3 linked regions of the Coturnix japonica genome follow. The protein of the gene in region 1 interacts with the protein of each later gene in a pairwise test. Links are inferred from orthologs where the notes say so. Each region holds a gene or a part of one and is shown on either strand. Other genes may lie near its edges.

Region 1 (3,749 bases):
ACTAAGAGTAGCCCTGGTTGCAAAAGCCCTTGCACTTTGATCCAATTGATTGCTGCTTGAAACCACTGCTTGGTTGAGCAAAGCACTACCTGACTCACTGCGGCCCTCATTCTACCACCATTCTGTGTCAAAGCGCCCTGCTGCACCACAGTTCAGTGCTGTGTAGGGTCACAACTAACACGGGAAAAGGAATGAGTGTGACAAAAAAAAGGCTCAGAGATTAAATATACCTGAAAGCATTTTTTTTCCTTAACACACCAATTCTCTAGGCCAACCAGAACTTCAATGGGCCTTCCGCCAGCTTTTGGTATCCCTGTTTTAAAACCTGTTGACAGGTTTTAAATGGATTGCACAATAGTTTTAGAGGACTGGAGGCAGCTCTGTGGTGTTACCAGCCAACATGATTTACACTGAGTTCCTACACATGAGATTATCCTCACACCACAGCAAGACAGCAGCTCCTCCGCTGCACAGCGTCCTCTGGGAAACCGAGCTGTTAATGAAGGATGAGGAGGAGCAGGCACTCGGTGTCCTACGGAAATCCATGATTGTGTTTCATGCTTAAAAGAGAAATTCGAATCTTTAATTTACGAATATCACTAGGTAGAGCCTGACTTGGTGACGCTAGAATTAATTAGCGATTAAGTGCACTTGGTCCAAAATTCAGAGCAACGTGCAACCCGTCTATGGAGCAGTGCCTCAGGAATCCCGCTTCCAGAACAGTACACGTTCGACATTATTGCCGTACAACAGCGCAGAGCAACAAACTGAAAGACCAAACTCAGACCAGACCGCCCCGCCCCGCCCCGCAGTTGGCGGCGTACGCGAGACTAACTGCGCCTACGCGAGCGTGGCGCATGCGCGCAATAGACGCCGTGCATCCAGCCCCCACCCGGGCAGGCAGCGCCCCTTTCTAGTAACTTCCCCGAAGAGCTGCGTCATCAATGCGCGCCGCGGCCAGGACGGGTATTTCCGCCCGGCGCTACGGGAGCGGGCAGAGCCCGTTGGGGGGTGAGGTGAGAGTAGGGAGTGTTGTGCTTGTTCCGAGCTGACGGGCGTTAGGTGCCGGCCCGGCCCCGCTCACGATGTCAGACAGCACAGACAGCCCCGCGGGGCGCCGCAGTCCCCCGGAGACTCCTGCTCAGGGCTCAGCTGCCGACGAACCGCGCATTATCAGAGTCACGGTGAAGACTCCCAAAGAGAAAGAGGAGTTCTCTGTTGCCGAAACCAGCAGCATCCGGCAGGTGAGGGGCGGCGAGGAGCGAGGGAAACGCGGCCTGCCGGCCGAGCTCTGCCGCGCTCCGCGGCCTCACGCTGCAGGGCTGGGGCCCGTGCCCGTGACGAAGCGACTGCTGCCTGCCCGAGCTCCGCGGGGCCGGGCCGGAGAGCGGCGGGGCTCGGTCGTGGTCCGCTCCCGGCGGGGCGGCCGCATCCCCCCCCCGACCTCTCGCTACCCGCGGTTGTGTGTCGGCTCGGGAGGAGGCCCGGCCCGGCTCTTGTTGCGTTGCCCGGCCCGGCTGACTCAGGCTGGCAGCGGGAGGCGGCAGCTTGCTTGCCGGTGAGGCTGCGGAGAGCGTGCGCAATCACCTTGCTGAGAGCGTTGTGGGGCCGGTCGTTATCTGGATAAAATGTGCTCTAAAAAAACAACACTACCAAAAAAAACCCAAACAAACAAAAAAAAAACCCAAACAACTGAGAACGCCACGGCGAGCATCAGAATTTTAGGGAAGTTGTCTTTTTCGAGAGATTATAGAATTTGCAGTGTAAATAAAGTGCAACTTCAGCTGCACTTTTCTTATGAAAGCCTGTGCCCCCTCCACCCCAACCCTGGTACCTTCGGTTTGAAAGAAGTAGTGAATCATCATCTCGATTTCCTGTAATGCTCCTGTAATGTTTTTTTGTGGAAGTTTTCTGTGCAGGTGTTGATGGGGGCTTTTATTTGAGTTAGAGGGCAACCAACCATAGAGGAACTACAATCAAAGCCTAAGGTAGAGTCTGTAAAATCAGCCTTCTGTTTGTGAAGGAGATGGATACTGTTTTGCTAAGATACTCCAAAAGATGCAGTTACTTGGAGGGGATTCAGAGCTTACTTTGTCCATATGATTTATCTGAAATGTTCTTTAAAGTATCTTTGGATGAGGTGCCTCAGTTTGAATTCTTTTTTTTTTTCCCCCTTCTTGCATGTGACTTGTAACTGCAAAGTAAAACATGGGCATGTATGTGAGCTCTGCTGCCACAGAAATCCAGCCATGAAAGTTGACAACCTGAGTGACAGGTTACAAAGCTGACATTATTTTATTTTAGCTCTGGGTGTATGGTTGGTTGATTTTCCTAGCATGCATACCTAGGATGTAAAGTAACAGATCTCGTACACTTCAACATGTAAGTATACATACTATTTCCACTGAAGTGATGGTTTATTCTTAGAATTGCTTTATATATTAAAATGTAGTGCCACACATGTGATGAGTTAATATAGGGTTCTTTCTAGGGAATCTTTGGTGGTTGTCAGGTTCCACTGGGAGGTGTTGCCCATGCCAGAGGTGGTGTGGGCCAGGCCTGTATTTAGTCCAAAACCTGTTTTTGAGAGTCTTGGCTATTTAAGTTTCTCATTAGCACATCGACCTTATTATGGTGCCTGTATTATCAAACCCAGCAGCGTACAGCTTAGCTCCTCAAAGCTTGTGGGATGAGACTCTGCTTTTAGGCTTCAGATGTCCTGCTTATCTGGGAAACACAGCCTTTCCTAAACTGAATGTCAGTTTGCCAAGGAGTTTGAATTAGTTGCTGAAGGCTCTGAATTTATCTCCAGGTGTCACCACTGTTGTCAAAATGCAAAGCTTGATATCATTTCTTATGGTTAAACCAGAAGATGCTATGTGGTTATCAAAGGGGAATACAAGAGGTGAAGTAAAAGCCCTGAGTGTAGTACCAGCAACTGGGCTAGAATTTAAATCTTTGTTCTACCTAGTTGCTGTGAGGCGACAAGATGCTGGTATTTCTTTCAAGTTTTTCTCATTATTTTGCTTATAAGCATCCCAGAAATAAGCTTAATTGAGGTCCTCTCTCCAGCTGCTGGGGAAGTGATACTCTTCTGTCTTTGGGCTTTTTGCAGCATCCTACCTGCTACTCTATCTGCAAACTTAATCTAGGCATTTCTCCCAAAGGTGAAATGGCAGCGTTTGCTTTTAATGTTTGCAGAAATCTGTCAGAAGGGGGTACTTTTTTTCCTCTTCTAAGCAACATCAGCACTGTTATAAAGTTACTGGAAAGTTCTTTATGGGGTCTTTTTTAATTTTTTTGGAGATTCATATTCCAGATCTAACAGGAGGAAAGTATCTATCACCAAAAACAATGTAATTGCAAATTATTTGGATACTTAAGGAGGTGTAAACAAATTTACTTAAGGTGAAATTTATATTTACAAATTTATCTTTAGCAGGATTTTTTTTTTTTTTTAAATATGAAGGCCAGTTGGGATGCCAGGTTGTTTTGTGATCAGTTGTCTTAAAAGCAAATGTCTAAATAAGCTAGCAAGCACACTTTACTAAAAGAAGACATATGATTTTAAGTAGTTAATAGAAGATGCTGCTTGAAATTTAATTGTTGTCCACTTATCTTAAGCGCTAAACATTTGACAGTACATTAGAGGTACAGACTATTTGCAGTTATACCTTGGTTCCCATGAAGTAAGATTGCCCCTGGAGGCCCACCATTTGCTGTGGGTCCTAAGCTGTCACAACTACCAC
Region 2 (3,743 bases), on another chromosome or scaffold:
TGATTTTTATCCCCAGCCACCATCTACAGGACAACAAGAACAAGAAGCCAAAGAGCACGCCTACCTTCCTCTCCTCCCGTTCCTCATCATCAAAGGTAAAGCATTGAGATTTCTGTAGAGCAGAAAAGAAAGTATGAGTTTAAAAATCCACAAATCTGCCTTTCCCAAACAGGGAATAAGCTTGGAAAGCAACTCTGAAAAGCACTCTATAAAGACAAGTAAGCCTTCTCAAGAAGTCTTTACCAGCACAGGGAATCAAAGAGGCAAAGAGTGTTAAAAAACCTATGAATACTGCACACCTCTTTAACAAACAGCATAGGTAGGAGCCAGACACAAGGACAGTTTTTCCTGTTGCTGAGAGCTTTGCTTCATTATTGTCTTCTCTGTTCAACACTGTTTGTATCCAGCAACTTCAGCTACATTTTAACAAGCAGGGAACGAACCTCATTTGAAAAGCCCAGATACAGCCCATGCTGCCAAGTCAGAATTGTTTTCCTTCTCTTTCATGCCTGAAAAACATTCGATGAACACCCCATACTCTCTTCTGCTGGCTCAGTGGTGGACACCACATGTCACAGGCCAAAGCTGTGCCCATCTGATGGACCAGCTTAATTTTATATACTGCAGCTGTGAGGTGGGTATTCAATACATTCCAAATATCCCATAACTCATAGTATAGTTTGGGTCTTAAGGGACCTTAAAGATCATCTGAATTCCAACCCCTTGCCATGGGCATGAACACCACAAGCTCAGGTTGTCCAAAACCCCATTCAGCCTGGCCTGGTATCCACAGCTTCCCTGGGTAAACTTGATTACGCTTAATGACTCTACCAAGCTATGTGTACGCTCTTCTCCCCTTTGTTATTGTTTCTTTTCCTTCCTAATAGAAAGCATCACTTCCTTGCTACTTGCAAACAAATCCTTATGTTCTTCCTACAGCATCCTGAAGTAGGACTGTTATTCAGCTCACGTTCTTCACACACAGCCAATTAAAACAGGTGAACGCTCCACTCTATGCAGAACGGAGCTTTCCCTTGCATCTGTGAACCTTCTCATGTCAGTCAGAACGTTAGTCAGACTGACCTCGTGCACAAAGGCATTTCCAGAGCTTCTTTGCAGGCTCCTGTAATCTCATTCACAAATATTTCCATAACACACCTGTGGGTTTGGCTTTAGCTGTATTCTATTCCCGACAACCAGGAACTGACTGCATATTTAATAGTGAATTAAATATATATATATACCTAGAGAAGAATATAACAGCACCTGCTTTTGTAGTAAAAAAAACTATGCAAGGAAGTCGGTTGGCTTATAATCAGTTTAATCTCTTCAGCTCATTTCTCCCAGACAAGCTAGCAAAATGACTGACATCCTCACAAGTTTCCTATGCTCTACACGCTGACAAAGAAACCAGCTGGAGGAATTCAAAGCATTGGATTTAGTGCCTCAACACGGTTGCACAACAAATGCCATTTACTATCCTAATTTCTCCAGCACACCAGCTGCTGCCAGCAACGCTAATCCTGCAGACCAACCTTTTAAAAGGGACCTGCTGTTTCAAAACCGACTGCTGGAAACAGTTAGTGCAGGAAGGGAAGTGCACATGCTTGTAAGATAAGCACAGGTTTTCCCCACCAGCTTCCCTCCTACTTCAGAATGGTGCAGAATGAGTCACAGATCTGCAGGGCCAGCCCTAGCCTGGTGGAAACCCTCTGAAGGAAATTTCCCTGGCAGACAGTTTCAAAAGGGAACTACCCCTGCAGATGATCTAAGGTTAGAGTCACTCGCACTTCAGCTTCCTGACCCGGTCTTTTTCATGTTCTACACTCATTATTTCATGCGCCAGCTTTCAGATCAGGCACCCTAATCCAATCCCAGCATCCATTCACACCAACTCCTAATTGTCTTTTGCTTACAAATCACAACAATCCTACCTGCAGCTCCTCCCTAGGTGTGAGTTTTATTACCTCCAAACCTTGCCTAGCATCAAGGCTCCTCCTACTCCTCATGCCCATGATTATTCCCCTACCGGGTTTAACTTGCAATCTGGATAATAAAGAAAATCCTTCCCATGTACTTTTCTTCCAGCATAAACAAGATAAAGGGAGGCTTCTTAGCTGCTTCCTAGTAAAGCATCATTAAGAAGCAGCTTGCAAGTAACAAAACAAAGCAGTCTATGACATCTCCAGGGCAATAATGCAGAGACAGATGCTCAGAGGAGATGGGATAGCTGGGCAGCACTGTGAACCCATAACACGGCCCAACCTGCTTCCAGGCTTGCTGACAGCAGCAGGTGACATCAGGCTGAGGTGTGATGCTCACTCACCTCCTGGTTGTAGATCTGAAGCACCTTGAGGACCGCGTCTTGCTCCCCGCTTTCCACCGTGGCCACTACGGTCCTGAGCTCCATGATACCAACAGCTCAGCTACAGCAGGATGGGAAGCAGAGAGGAAAGGCTTCCAGAGCTCCTGGATAACAGCGGTGCAAAGGGACCTCGATCCTTGAGAACTGAGAGGCAGTGAGAAAGGGGGTGGGGAAAAAGAAACAAAAATCAAGCGAGCCGGCTCACTGCTGCGTCCATAAAGCAGACGGGTGAACCACGTACAGCCTCTCTGCCCCTCTAATCCTCTTCTTTCCTCTTTGCTTTCCGACGTTTAATGCATGCCCTCCCAGCACAGCGCTGGGACACCCCCCCCTCCCCACCCGAGGATTACCGCAGCAGATCACGGTGCTTCCCGTAATAGCTCCCCGCTCCTCACTACCCAACAGGGAAGGCGAAGGCCCAGCGGCCATTTTACAGAGGCGGAGCTCCTCCTGCCGGGCGGAGCCGCCTTTCGCCGTGTGCCGCCATGGCGGACTGGGGGCGAGGTGAGGGGGAAGGAGTGAGGGGCGCGCTGAGGGGCTGCTAAAGGGGGCGCCCCGCCGCCATCTTGGGGCACCCCGCCGCCATCTTGGGGATGTGCCATGCTCCCCAGTCGGGATGATGAGACGCGTTTCTTTTCTCCTCAGGACAGAATGCGGTTGCTATGGAGGATATGCTGGACGTGGAGAACAAGCGCATGACAGACAACCTGGCCAGCAAAGTCACCAGGCTGAAGTCGGTGAGTTGCTGGCGCTGCTATGGACGCTTGCAGGGTCTCAGGGACAACGCAGTTGTGTGGGCTTCCTCAGTGCTGTGGGCATACGATGGCTGACGTGTAGCAGTAGGAGGCAGTGCTGGTCCGTCAGCTGTTGTCATATGTCCAACATAGGGAAGTTTCTGCCAGCTTTCCCAGATTATTTCCACAGCAAAAGGATTCCCACAACCCCAAACTGCAGTGAGTGAGAGGCCTTGTTTTGTGGCTGTGCTTAACAAACCTCCACCACATCCTCTAGTGTGGGCCTAGATGCGTTCCAGGTTGTCTTGGTGTTCATTAACGTCAATTTCCTCTCTTATGCTGTGTAGCTGGCTCTGGATATTGATAAAGATGCTGATGAACAGAACCGTTACCTGGATAGCATGGTAAGGAACCAAAAAAGAAGGGTAAAAAGCATGAATTTCAATGTTGGGACCAGTTTGGTCAAAGGTGGGAGCTTGGAAGCTTAATAGCTTGGAACCTTAATAGCAGTGTATGGCCTTGGAGTATCTGAACTGGATATTTGTTCAGCCTAGAAATCAAAAGAGTGGAGAGTTGGAATGAGAGATGTAAAGACAAGAGATCTTAAAGGAGAAGCCCCGAATCAGCACGCAATTGTGCTTCTA
Region 3 (3,649 bases), on another chromosome or scaffold:
TTTTTTTCTTTTTTTACACAAACACTTGATCTTTTCATAAAATTCCAGACACACTAGGTTGGCTGCATGTAAGCTTGCATCCACACTGCAGTTAGTGGTCCAACAGTAAAACAGAAAAGGCAGCAATTTGCCAGGATGCAAAGCCAATACTGGTCCTCACTCTGCACCACTTCCCCGGATCTTCACCAGGGCGTTTCCTCTTCCAAGACTCAGAGAATCCTGATGGAATCTACGCTGACTCAATTTGTCTGTCAGACCCTCAGAAGCGCCAACCTGGGTGCTGCACTCAGTTAGTCAACATTCCCGGGTCATTCCAAAGCACCAGAAATACAGCTACTCAGATTGGAGTGTGTGTTTTGAACCTACGTGCAGCCTGGCAGCAGATTTTGGTCATCCTGGTATATTACTGCTCTTTTCATCATGTCAAAAGCCTATCTAACATCAGCCGCAGCCAGCTGGGTGGTGTGGCAGCAGAGCCAGAGGGACAGGGAACATCCACGTTTGCGATCAGAATGGATACTCTTGATTCCCAGGCTGGTGAAGACTATATTTGTTGCAAAACCAAAACGATAAGCAGGAGGGAATAGGTCAAGTTATTGCCCCAGTGCTTACCCCTGCCATCCAAGGGTGAGAAGAGACATAGAGAGGGGCAAAAAGAAAGCAGCATCCCTGCTAAAAAGAGGGGAAGAGGGAAGAGATTAAAAGAACCCCGAATCTCTCACCCAATGCTCACATTACTGGTGAGGGAGATCAGGAAGAGGAATACAATCTATGCCTTGGCCAGAGGAAAGGAGGAAAGCTCGCCCCAGATTACCATGGCATGAAAAAAAAATATAAAACCAAAAAAGACTACAGTCACATTCAGCCTTTACTAGAGATAGCACAAAGGGAGGGATGACGGAGGTTAGCACACATCCCCATTAGTAGTCCATAAAGCCCAGTGTCGTACTGGAAAGAAAACCTTTGTGCCTATTCTAATAAACAGCCCTGAGCTTCAACTCTATTGCAAAAGACAGAAAAAGAAAATAAACAACAAAACAATCCTGGCCAGACACACAGCAAGGTGATTGTGGGATGTATGCTTCACAGTTAAGTTAGATGTGCCACACTGGTCTTGACAGTAATAAATTTAAATCAACTCTTCCTGATACCAGAAGTTCAGCTATGTGGACAGTGGTTACACAACAGGATTATTTGTTATAGCACAACTTATATTTCAAATGAAAAAAAAATTAGTATCATTTACAGTATCTCAAGAAAAATCTCCTCTGAATGGGAACTTCCTTTCCAGTATTTTGAGGTCTACAAGATGCATCTAGAAAATTTACTACTGTGGAAAATGAAGACAGCTTAAATTGAATAAGGGGGCATGATTATTTTTTTAATTAATTGCTGTAACATTGTCCTTCAGGTGGCTGAGGAAGTTTCATATTTTCTTTAGACATCATTAGACGCCGAAGCTCTTGCAGAACAACTTTGATGCTAAAAGAATTCTGCCATTTTGCTAGGACTGATATGGCTCTGGGGTCCACCTAGAACAGACAAAAACACCATTCCTGTCACAATCAGAACTGTCAATAACTCCCACACACACCCTCCAGCCAAAGATCTTTTAAGAAGTCTCAGTGGAAGAAACCAAAGAAGGCAAAAGCAAGCAGGTGGCTTTCCTGAAAGCATGATTAATCCATGCAGAACTATTTGCAAGCTGCAAATGTACAAGAAAAGTACATTTTGATTCCAGAATTCTCTCAGTTTGTACAGTTCCCTCCTACTCCCCTCTTCTACTCCAAGAAATGGTACGAGCAAACAAAAAGTACTAAAGCAAACTGCAAATAAAAAGCATTCATTAGAAGCTGCACGTGAAAACCATGTAAAATAGTAAAAAACAAAAACTTACCATTCCATTGGAATTATTTATTCCATTCATATTAATTTTAGTTACAAATCTAACTGTAGGAGGTGCTTCTGGATATTTAGGTCCACACTCTACTTTCAGACTGTATATTCTGTTTTCATAAATTGTCTGGGGGAAAAAAAAGCAGGAAGGGGGAACAATTATATCAGGCAGTTCAACAAACACTTGGTTAAAACAGTGGTTATTTCAGGAACACAAACCACTAAACAGAAGGTCAGCTGCTTCCATTCTGTGCTGCCTCCCCCTGTTTTGGGTTCATTTTACAATATTTGAGCACTAAATGCTGCTCTTCTGCATATTAAATTCTACTATTTTTTTAAGCACACATTGAATTTTCACATAAAGAATGAAGTTGGCATTGCTTCCTGTTCACTCCCTGAAAAAGTTTTTCTTATCACCATATAGTTTAGTTTTCTGCTCTTCAACCAATCTTTATAAATCAGTTCTGTTTTTATCAATTCACTAATCACAGGCATGATCTTGAAATCAAAGCTATAGCTTTAGTGTAGAGAGCCATCTGAAGTTGGCTGGTCCTAAAGCTTCACTTAAAAACTTTCTTTGGTCAATCGTCAACCCAATGCATGAGCTCCCTGAAAAGTGAATGCTCCAAAATCTAGTACATTTAAAGTACACAGGTTGCTCCGAAAGTAATGTCTCCTATTTATTTCCACAGAATCTACCACAGATACACAGAGCACAATAACATTATTTGATAGAGCAAATTCTCAGCTATAAAACATTGTTTTTCAACACAGTCACCACCATTAGCTGATTCATGCAGATGAGCTGATCAAGGCACTCTTCATCTTGTTGTATGACAGCTGTGCAAGGTCACCTGGAACACGGCTTGTCCTTCACGCTGCTATTGACAATGCAGAAAGGCACCAGCATGACTGCACCAATATCCACTGCCTGGTCTCCATATAGGTTCAGCAATCATCAATGAATGTCAATGGGTGCCATTTTTTCTGTTCTGCCCCTTTGTTCCATACTTCTATGTCAGACACCACTCTGTCAGGCTGCCCCTCTGCTGCCAGCTGTCACACAGCAACAAAATGGAACAGGACATTGGTGGGAAGGTTCAGCCCCTACTGCCACACCAGCAACATCCGCCTCTGACATCACAGGCCAACATCATAAAACAGGAGGCATTACTTTTGGAGCAACCCTTCTACATCCTGATTCCAAACAGCAACAACATTGTTCCAGAGACTGGGGGACAGTTACCTGACTCAGCCTGGACTGTCCCAGTCTCCTAACAGAACCATGTGAGCTCTATGCACAGAGCAATTAACACACCAAAGTCTGCAGCTTTTTATGGCCCTTGCATATAACCACATCGCATTAAGACTAGTGAACAGAAAGTCTTCACCATGCACAGGCCTAGAGCCAGACCAAGTCAAAGTTCTGACAGCACCCCTGTTATTGAATAGCTTGTATAAGCAAGAGGAATGACTGGTTGCAAAACCATCTGCACTGAGCCTGGGGAGGAGCAGTATGCTTCCATGTAAGGTAGCAGGGACAGCCCAGAGCAGCAGCCTGGACCCAGCTCAGCACAGCAGTTCATTTTCCCTGCAGTACACCCAGCACCAGATTCCTCCACCTGCCACAAGCGCGACTGTTTTCTGCTCAGAGGAAAACAGGATTTTTTGACTTTTTCCCAAAGTCAGCATTTCTCACATTCTATTAAAAAAAAAAAAAAAAAAAGGTAATAACATGACTGTGTAAAACAGA

Evidence for each region.
Region 2: the proteins of UBQLN1 (region 1) and RIC8A interact in binary tests that used the Homo sapiens proteins (3 or more experiments, as listed by UniProt). The link is inferred for Coturnix japonica from reciprocal best matches to the Homo sapiens genes UBQLN1 and RIC8A.
Region 3: the proteins of UBQLN1 (region 1) and ubiquitin-conjugating enzyme E2 variant 1 interact in binary tests that used the Homo sapiens proteins (3 or more experiments, as listed by UniProt). The link is inferred for Coturnix japonica from reciprocal best matches to the Homo sapiens genes UBQLN1 and UBE2V1.

The regions. Positions count from the first base shown.
Region 1 is NC_029547.1:36,156,493-36,160,241, reverse strand, and holds the start of UBQLN1 (ubiquilin-1), read left to right. Parts: upstream 1-1,085; coding exon 1,086-1,244; intron 1,245-3,749. UniProt on the Homo sapiens protein: Plays an important role in the regulation of different protein degradation mechanisms and pathways including ubiquitin-proteasome system (UPS), autophagy and endoplasmic reticulum-associated protein degradation (ERAD) pathway.
Region 2 is NC_029520.1:1,400,549-1,404,291, forward strand, and holds the start of RIC8A (synembryn-A), read right to left. Parts: upstream 2,832-3,743; 5' UTR 2,716-2,831; intron 2,698-2,715; exon of another isoform or gene 2,607-2,697; intron 2,510-2,606; 5' UTR 2,411-2,509; coding exon 2,327-2,410; intron 113-2,326; coding exon 65-112; intron 1-64. Other genes in the region: BET1L (BET1-like protein), read left to right, coding at 2,851-2,869, 3,011-3,102, 3,447-3,503.
Region 3 is NC_029535.1:12,304,226-12,307,874, reverse strand, and holds part of ubiquitin-conjugating enzyme E2 variant 1, read right to left. Parts: intron 2,024-3,649; coding exon 1,898-2,023; intron 1,533-1,897; coding exon 1,386-1,532; 3' UTR 1-1,385. UniProt on the Homo sapiens protein: Has no ubiquitin ligase activity on its own. The UBE2V1-UBE2N heterodimer catalyzes the synthesis of non-canonical poly-ubiquitin chains that are linked through Lys-63.